Saccharomyces cerevisiae S288C: one gene and its partner. Changing the gene in region 1 together with any one later gene gives a genetic interaction. Each region holds a gene or a part of one and is shown on either strand. Other genes may lie near its edges.

The links.
Region 2: mutations in CDC37 (region 1) and YDL199C together harm fitness more than expected from each alone (negative genetic interaction), as found in Saccharomyces cerevisiae (2 studies listed by BioGRID).

Annotation. Positions count from the first base shown.
Region 1 is NC_001136.10:788,328-792,967, forward strand, and holds CDC37 (Hsp90 co-chaperone CDC37), read left to right. Parts: upstream 1-2,000; coding exon 2,001-3,521; downstream 3,522-4,640. Other genes in the region: exocyst subunit SEC5, read right to left, coding at 1-894; TAF10 (Taf10p), read left to right, coding at 1,122-1,742; STB3 (Stb3p), read right to left, coding at 4,021-4,640. UniProt on the Saccharomyces cerevisiae protein: Co-chaperone that binds to numerous kinases and promotes their interaction with the Hsp90 complex, resulting in stabilization and promotion of their activity.
Region 2 is NC_001136.10:100,894-105,013, forward strand, and holds YDL199C (uncharacterized protein), read right to left. Parts: upstream 2,461-4,120; coding exon 397-2,460; downstream 1-396. Other genes in the region: MGT1 (methylated-DNA--protein-cysteine methyltransferase), read right to left, coding at 1-174; GGC1 (Ggc1p), read right to left, coding at 2,756-3,658; ASF2 (Asf2p), read right to left, coding at 4,024-4,120.

The DNA.
Region 1 (4,640 bases):
CAGATCTTTATACGTGACTAATAAATTTTCTATTTGAGTCCAAATTCTTTTTATAACAAGAGATTGTGAAGCATCTGAACTCTGGTTGAAACGGCGACGGAGCGTAAGACCTTTTGAATATTCGATAATGAACTCATTGAAATCGTTGTTAGTCAAACATCTCTTTAAAGATTTGGGTAGGTTGAAGTAAAACTTATTCAATTCAATAAATTTTTTGGTGGCCTGGTAATTCAAAATTTTCTGATAGTTATCCATTAGCGGTTTCAGTTTGAAAGTTGTTGTTCTAATAACCTCGTCGACCTTTTTATTTAAGCTTTCCACATTTATTTGATTTTCTTTTGGTGAATCACATTGGTTTTTTTCATTCGTTTTCTCGTCAAATTCTTTGTAAATTTGGTCTAACTTGTTTTTAATCTTAACATACTTGGTGAAATTTTTACCAACCAATTGTTTCAAATGTATAGATTGGTCTTGTATATCACTGTCCAACCTGTCCAGTGAGTTATTTAGATCATTGAAAGAGTCTTGTTTGTGCATATCTCTCAGAAAGGCTTTGACGTTGAATTGTTTACTGTTGACAAGATAGTTCAACCGCATTGAATCATTTGGTAGATGTTGCAATTCTTTAGACATTTCTTGTCCATTCAAGGGATCTCTAATATAACTTAACGACTCATCGTTTAAATATGCTCTCGATTCCTTGTCAATGCTAATTTGATTGCCATATTTGAAGTCTTTTAATATGTCGAATGACGTTTCAACGCCAAGTTCATTGCTTGTAGCCTCTTCATTATTCAATTTTGAGGAATCTTGGGCCCAGGAATGGGTCGGATTAATAGTCTTCAACTGATAAAAACGAAGTAGTTGCTCGTCGCCAATTTGAAACCTATCCATGGTACCAAACTTTTTTTCGCTACTTTATTTCAACAGAAACTTCTTTCCTAGTTTAGCAGCTTTAACGCAGCTTATTTTTGTTACTTTAGTTGAATAGTAGGAGTTGATACTTTTGTTTTTTCAAGTTGAAAACAGAAACGAAAAATTAAAGAAGCTGCAGATTCAGCATTCATGCCTAAGCTAAAAAGAACTGGCAGCGAAGAACAGAGGAAAGAATAACTGAAACTATGGATTTTGAGGAAGATTACGATGCGGAGTTTGATGATAATCAAGAAGGACAATTAGAAACACCTTTTCCATCGGTTGCGGGAGCCGATGATGGGGACAATGATAATGATGACTCTGTCGCAGAAAACATGAAGAAGAAGCAAAAGAGAGAGGCTGTAGTGGATGATGGGAGTGAAAATGCATTTGGTATACCCGAATTTACAAGAAAAGATAAGACTCTGGAGGAGATTCTAGAGATGATGGACAGTACTCCTCCTATCATTCCCGATGCAGTAATAGACTACTATTTAACCAAAAACGGGTTTAACGTAGCAGATGTACGAGTGAAACGACTTTTAGCACTTGCTACTCAGAAATTTGTTAGTGATATAGCTAAGGATGCCTACGAATATTCCAGGATCAGGTCTTCCGTAGCGGTATCTAATGCTAACAACAGTCAGGCGAGAGCTAGGCAGCTATTGCAAGGACAGCAACAGCCTGGCGTGCAGCAGATTTCACAACAACAACATCAACAGAATGAGAAGACTACAGCAAGCAAAGTTGTTCTGACGGTGAACGATCTCAGTAGCGCTGTTGCTGAATACGGGCTCAATATAGGTCGCCCAGACTTTTATCGTTAGTGGCTAACAAATGGAAATGAAATATGTATATAGTGTAGCAGTATGCAACTCTTTTAAATACACGATTCGTTATTAGATTGATTAGAGCACTTATTCACGCAAATTTGACACGCTTTTTGAACATCCGTTTTTCACGATTTTTTACTGAAGGATCATGAAAGATTGCCACATAAGAGAACACCTCCGTTGCACCAACACTTCATCACGATAAAAAAACTATCGAGCTATCGTACTACGGAACAACTACATAAGTCAAAAATGGCCATTGATTACTCTAAGTGGGATAAAATTGAACTATCAGATGATTCTGATGTCGAGGTGCATCCTAATGTGGACAAGAAATCGTTCATTAAATGGAAACAACAGAGTATCCATGAACAGCGATTCAAAAGGAACCAAGATATCAAAAATTTGGAGACACAAGTGGATATGTATTCTCATTTGAACAAACGAGTGGACAGAATTTTGAGTAATTTACCTGAAAGTTCTCTTACTGATTTGCCAGCCGTTACCAAATTCTTGAATGCAAATTTTGATAAGATGGAGAAAAGTAAAGGGGAAAATGTTGATCCTGAGATTGCAACATACAATGAAATGGTTGAAGATCTTTTTGAACAATTAGCAAAAGATTTAGACAAAGAGGGCAAAGACTCGAAGAGCCCATCTCTCATAAGGGATGCTATTTTGAAACATAGGGCTAAGATCGATTCAGTAACTGTAGAGGCTAAGAAGAAATTAGATGAATTATACAAGGAGAAAAATGCACACATTTCATCTGAAGACATTCATACAGGCTTTGATAGTAGCTTTATGAACAAGCAAAAGGGGGGGGCTAAGCCACTGGAAGCAACTCCTTCAGAAGCTCTTTCGAGCGCTGCAGAGTCTAATATTCTTAATAAACTAGCAAAATCATCAGTTCCGCAAACTTTCATCGATTTTAAAGATGATCCTATGAAACTGGCCAAGGAAACTGAAGAATTCGGTAAAATATCCATTAATGAGTACTCAAAATCTCAGAAATTCTTACTGGAGCACTTACCTATTATTTCAGAACAACAAAAGGACGCCTTAATGATGAAGGCCTTTGAGTATCAGTTACATGGTGACGATAAGATGACTTTGCAAGTCATTCATCAATCCGAATTGATGGCCTACATTAAGGAAATCTACGACATGAAGAAAATTCCATATTTAAATCCAATGGAACTATCAAATGTCATTAATATGTTTTTCGAGAAGGTTATCTTCAACAAGGACAAGCCAATGGGTAAAGAGTCTTTTTTGAGATCAGTTCAAGAAAAATTTTTGCACATTCAAAAACGTTCCAAAATTTTACAACAAGAGGAAATGGATGAATCGAATGCTGAAGGAGTAGAGACGATTCAATTGAAATCTCTAGATGATTCTACAGAATTAGAAGTAAACTTGCCAGACTTCAATTCTAAAGATCCAGAAGAGATGAAAAAGGTTAAAGTTTTCAAAACTTTAATACCGGAAAAAATGCAAGAAGCCATAATGACCAAAAATTTGGATAATATTAATAAAGTCTTTGAAGATATACCAATTGAAGAGGCTGAGAAACTTTTGGAAGTGTTTAATGACATTGACATTATTGGAATAAAAGCGATCTTAGAAAACGAGAAAGACTTTCAAAGTTTGAAAGATCAATACGAACAGGACCATGAAGACGCCACTATGGAGAATCTGTCCTTAAACGACCGTGATGGTGGCGGAGATAACCATGAAGAGGTCAAACATACTGCCGACACTGTTGACTAGAAATTTATGTAGCTATTTTACTGGTGCAGCGTGCATCTACTTCCTTTTTTATTGTTATTTTCATTTATACATAATACAAAAAAAAAAAAGAAGAAAATTAATGATCAATAAAGAAAATCGTGAAATTACAGCAGAGGTTTTGTACCTGCTTTCCTACGTTAGTACATAATATCTTATTTTTTATTAGTGCATGTTTTTCTCAGTGTGTGTTTTTGTAATTTGTATATACTACACAAAGAATCGGAAGGGTAAAATGTGAAAAATACTGGGTCTTTTGAAATATATTGAACGGGCTAATATATGAAATGAATATGAAAAGAAGAAAAAAATGTGACAAGAAAAAAGTGGTGACAAAAAAGACAAAATAATTATTCAGAGATGATAAACTTAAAGCAAAACTTGGTAACAAACTTTCATTAAAACAAAATATGTATTCTTTTTTCATTTTCATTTTTTTTTTACTGTTTTTTTGTTATTTCATGGAACTGGTAAAGAATTCTTAAGATTTTAAGCTCATTAATAAAAACGCAGCACTATTGTCTTCCCCATTTCTTGGCTGCTGTTCATGTTTCTGTTGGTCGTGTTGTAGGGGAGGCTCAATATCTCCATTCTGAGAGTTAGTAAAACTTGGATTTGTAGGTTTAGGGCTAACTACGCCATTAGTAGAACTTGCTACGCTGTCTATGTTAGGTGCTAAACTGTTATTTCTCAGAGAAGCTGCACCAATTGATTCCCAGTCTTCTTCGTCTGTATCTGAGTGAGGTTGATGATGAGAATGGGGAACAAGTTGTGGCGACGATTCCCCATTCAGGTGTTGTGAAGCTACTCTATGTTTCTCCTTGTCCGATAATACTATCGGATTTGAACTTACATTCATCTGTTCTTCTAGCTTAGGGGAGGTGGAAACCGACGTAGCTTTAGAGTTAGGGTTTGTAGTGACGATCAAATAGTTTTTGTTTGGGAAAAGTGTCGATCTAATACTTGATTCTTTCGATACAGACAGACGAGAAGCTCTTCTTGAAGTTGGCTCACTTGTCGCAGTAAGTTTCTCTAAATCTATCTTCGCCTGGTTTGAGTTACTGTTGTTATTTGATGGGGTTGTCGTTGAGGTTGTATTGG
Region 2 (4,120 bases), 690 kb from region 1:
GTACATTGTATCCTGTTTCTCATGTTTCTTCAAGAAGCCTTCCACCTTTCCCAATAAAAAAAGCTTATCATTACCTAACGAGGCAAAAACAAGGTTTTGAGTCTTTTCCCTAAACACCAAAAATGCACCAGTCACTTCAGTTTCAATGAATGTATAGTAAAGCAGTTCCTTCATCGTTGGTCCATTTAGATCAAAAATGCGACCGTTTTCAATTTTTTTTTTGTGCATATGCTATATCATTACTTGATTAATCTTCCTTGTTTCCACCGCATTTTAAATGCCCTGCCAGGCCAATAGCGCCGTGCCTTTTTTCTAATGACTATAATAAGAATATGTATGTAGGATAAAACTAAACATTTATACTTAGGATGAAGCAAATATTTTTATGAGGCCATACTAGGCAACTGCCATGTCTCCAGGCGAATTCTGGCCTCCACCTGAACTGGGTTTATTCGCAGCAATGTTGTCGCTGATATTTGGATCGGTTCTGTTATGAAAACTGAAAAATTCTCCAGTCCTTGATGGTCCTGAATCAGATGTAATGAAATAAACATTTTGTGCAGAACCGTGTGTCTGGTTCGATAAGTTTCCGTTTTTGGGTAGAATCTGCTCATTTTGAATAGATGAATAGGCTTGATTATTTTGTTTGATACTACTTCCTAGAGTGTTTATCTGATACGCGGAAAAAGATGGTGAGGAGGAGAATTCAGAACCGGTATCGTCAAAAACATCATCATGGTTACCGCTACCGTTTCCGGTAGAATCATCATCAGAATCTAACCTTTCGTCACGGGTTTCTATAGGAAAAATCTTCAGCACAAATATAATGGAAATAAAGGAAGATAAAGATGGAATAAGATAAAACTTCCAAGACAGACGGTCAATAAGTATAGGGGTTATTAAGCTGACGAACCACTTAAAAATCCAATAAAAGTTTGAGACTAGTAGTATCACTGGGGCCTGTGACAAGTGAGGTAGAAGCTCAATGGTCATAACCCATCCTATAGAATCCCAACTGATGAAGTGCGTAAAAAGAAAAACAGCAAATAGTATTGATATATACCTCGTTGTGCTCTTGGGAAACCAGTCTGTAAAAGATATGGTAAATAGCAATGCACACATCACAATCGAACCTAAGAGTACATTCGTTTTCTCTTTACGTTTCCGTAACACCAAGGGAACATATGCTAATATTACGATGCTGTAAATTAAAGCATTAAGCCCCGTTAAATAGATAGATTTTCTTTCTCCTCTCCCCATTTGTTGTAATATTAACGGTGAGTAATACAAGAAAGCATCCACTCCATTTGTTCGTGTGAGAAGTTGGAAACCTATCAACAATTTTATTATTGAAGAAAAATCCTTTAAGATATACGCATATGGATAGGAGTTTTTTTGAAGGTGTGACTTTAATAATATGTCTCGTTTCAGGACCCTAAATTTCAACTGAGTTTGGTTTTCTTCGAAATTTCCATCATCGAAAACATTCGATATTAAAACCAATGCCTCTACGTCGTTCTTTTGCTTCAACAGCCACGAAGGGGACTCTAAAATAAGATAGAACGACATTAGGTTTAGTATTATTCCAAGTGCCACATGTGTTGACAAAGGGTATCTCCATGCAAAGCCCAAATATCTGAAAGCACAATTAATCCATATTCCGAATGAATACGCAATGACACTAGAGACGCATTGAATGGAAATTAATGTCCGTTTTCTTATACAGGGAAGGGGAAACTCGAATTGATAAATTATTACCATAGAAAAGGCAAAGCCCATACCTACTCCGAGTAAGAATCTACCCAGTAGTAAACACCATTGGTTTAGAGCCAAGACCTGAACAATGGCACCCAAAGAGTATATCATTGTGCTTATTTGGAGCATTTTTTTCCTGCTACAAGGCTCCAGGATGCCAGAATAGACAAATAACGACGCCATGAACGCACCCAGATTAACAATGCTCACTATATTGCCCAGCGGAGAAGTAAGTGGGTAATGAAAATACTTCTGGAACGACAAAGTCATAACGTTACCAGATATGAGGCCTTGGTCCAACCCTGACAGCGAGGAAACTAGCACCACAAAAGATATAAACGAAGTACGCAAAACTCGACTGGAATGCCTTTTTTTCTTACTTCGTAGTTGTGAGATTTCAGCCTGTTGTAGTAATTGGCGGTATGGATCATCCATTGATAATCTAGGGGTATGTTCAGAAAGCGGCAAAACCACAGTAGCATCGCTGTCTCTATATAGAGAACCACGACGCGAGCTATGAGCTGTGATGTTGTTCTCAAATCTGAATATGTCGGGGTTCTTGTGGGGCAGTGAAGTTAGTGCGGTATCATCCTGTTTACTGTTAAAATCCTGTGCTAGCTGATGTGCCCTATCAATATGCGCCGAACTATTAGCTTCCTGAGTAAGTGGTTTATTTGAACGTGACATGTTTAACGGAGGTTTCATTTTCTTGAAAAAGCTGAGATAGTAACAGGTTCCTCTGTAGTATTAAATTTAGCGCTCTTCTTTATGTTCATTCTTTTTGTCCTGAAGTGGCCCAGAAGCCCTTCAAAGCAATCCTTTATTTTTTTAGAACTACGCGGCTGACGTCCTTACCTCGGTACGGTGATACAGCTATTACATTGGAAAAAGTAGTTAGTCAAAAAACAGGAAATAATACATAAAGTACAAACTCATATTGTTATACATTTTATATTCACAAGCTGAATGCCAAGGAAAATAGACAAGAAGTTCATGTACTTCATTTGCTCAACAGGTTATCGAATCTAGGTATCAAAGATTGAGCTAACGCAAATGAGAAAACCAGTTTTGGACCCGTTGTTAGTAATTTAGGTGTTAAGCCCTTGAAAAACGCAGTTACACCTTCATTTTTCAGAGTGTTTTTGACGATTCTCAACCCGCTTTCAGGATTATCAAAATTCCTATTTTGAATTCTTGTCTTGATGACATCTAATGGAGCAGAAACGATCAGAGAGGAGCAAGCACCGACGATGGAGGAGATGAAGTTTTGGGACCAAGTAGCTTGAGAATAATCTTTCAAACCCAAGATATACTCCTTGGCGAATGCATTACCACCAAAAAGGGCGAATGAACCGGGAGCATTTCTGGCAGCCGTCCACCCCCAACCCCTATATAAGTTGAACAGGCCTTCGTCTCTCAAAATCTTGATGAAACCTCTACCTTTAAACGATTCGGGATTGGTCTGTCTCTTAATCTTCAACACGTCCAGCGGCAAAAGAACAATTTCACCAATACCAATCAAAGATCCAGCAGCGGCGGATCTCATTGCCTTACCAGTCTTTTCACCGAAAAGATTATCAAAATCCTTTTTGTAGTGCTTATTCAAAAACTCGTTAGCAAAAGGCTGACCACCATATTTATACACTCTTTGAAGAACTTTGTATGATGCAGCGTAACCGAGACCCGGGAACAAGGTAAACAAACGTTTGCCCAAAGGTTCGCTGAAATGATCACGAAAAATAACACGATTCAATTCCTGGCCAGAGGTTATTTTGGTGTGGTTGGACATCAGTCTTTTGGAAATGGTGTCCACAGGATGGAAGACGGCAATTTCCATTATGCCTGCAGAGGCGGACCCCAAAAGACGAGCTAATCCTGATTGTTTCTTATCGGTATGAGGCATATTTCCCTTTTCTAATACTTTGGAAGATGCTTTGTTTGATATATGTCTAAAGGCTAAATATTAACCATCAAAAGAGATACACGATTTATATAGTCACCTCTATATATCTATGTCGTCGCTTTGTAGAAAATGTGACAGCAAATGCACAGTGACTCACGAGTTTTTGTTTTCTCGAGCTTTATCAAGAATTGCGATCGTTCTTTAATTTTCATTTTCTTTTTTTTTCGGGCAGTGGCGGCGGTGCTACATGCCATTGGTCTACAAGGAAACTGTGGCAGCGAAGATTAACGGTGGTATGTTTGCGATAGAGCTTCCTTTGCAGATAGGCGGATGCCGTAGTGATCTCTACCGCTTCGTATTTATATTTATTTATGTAGTCCTGAACAATGCTTTGAATCCGCCAAGCTTTGTGCCACAGGAGGAGTTGATGTGTCTAGTGTGACTGGTTCATTTGCCACCAAT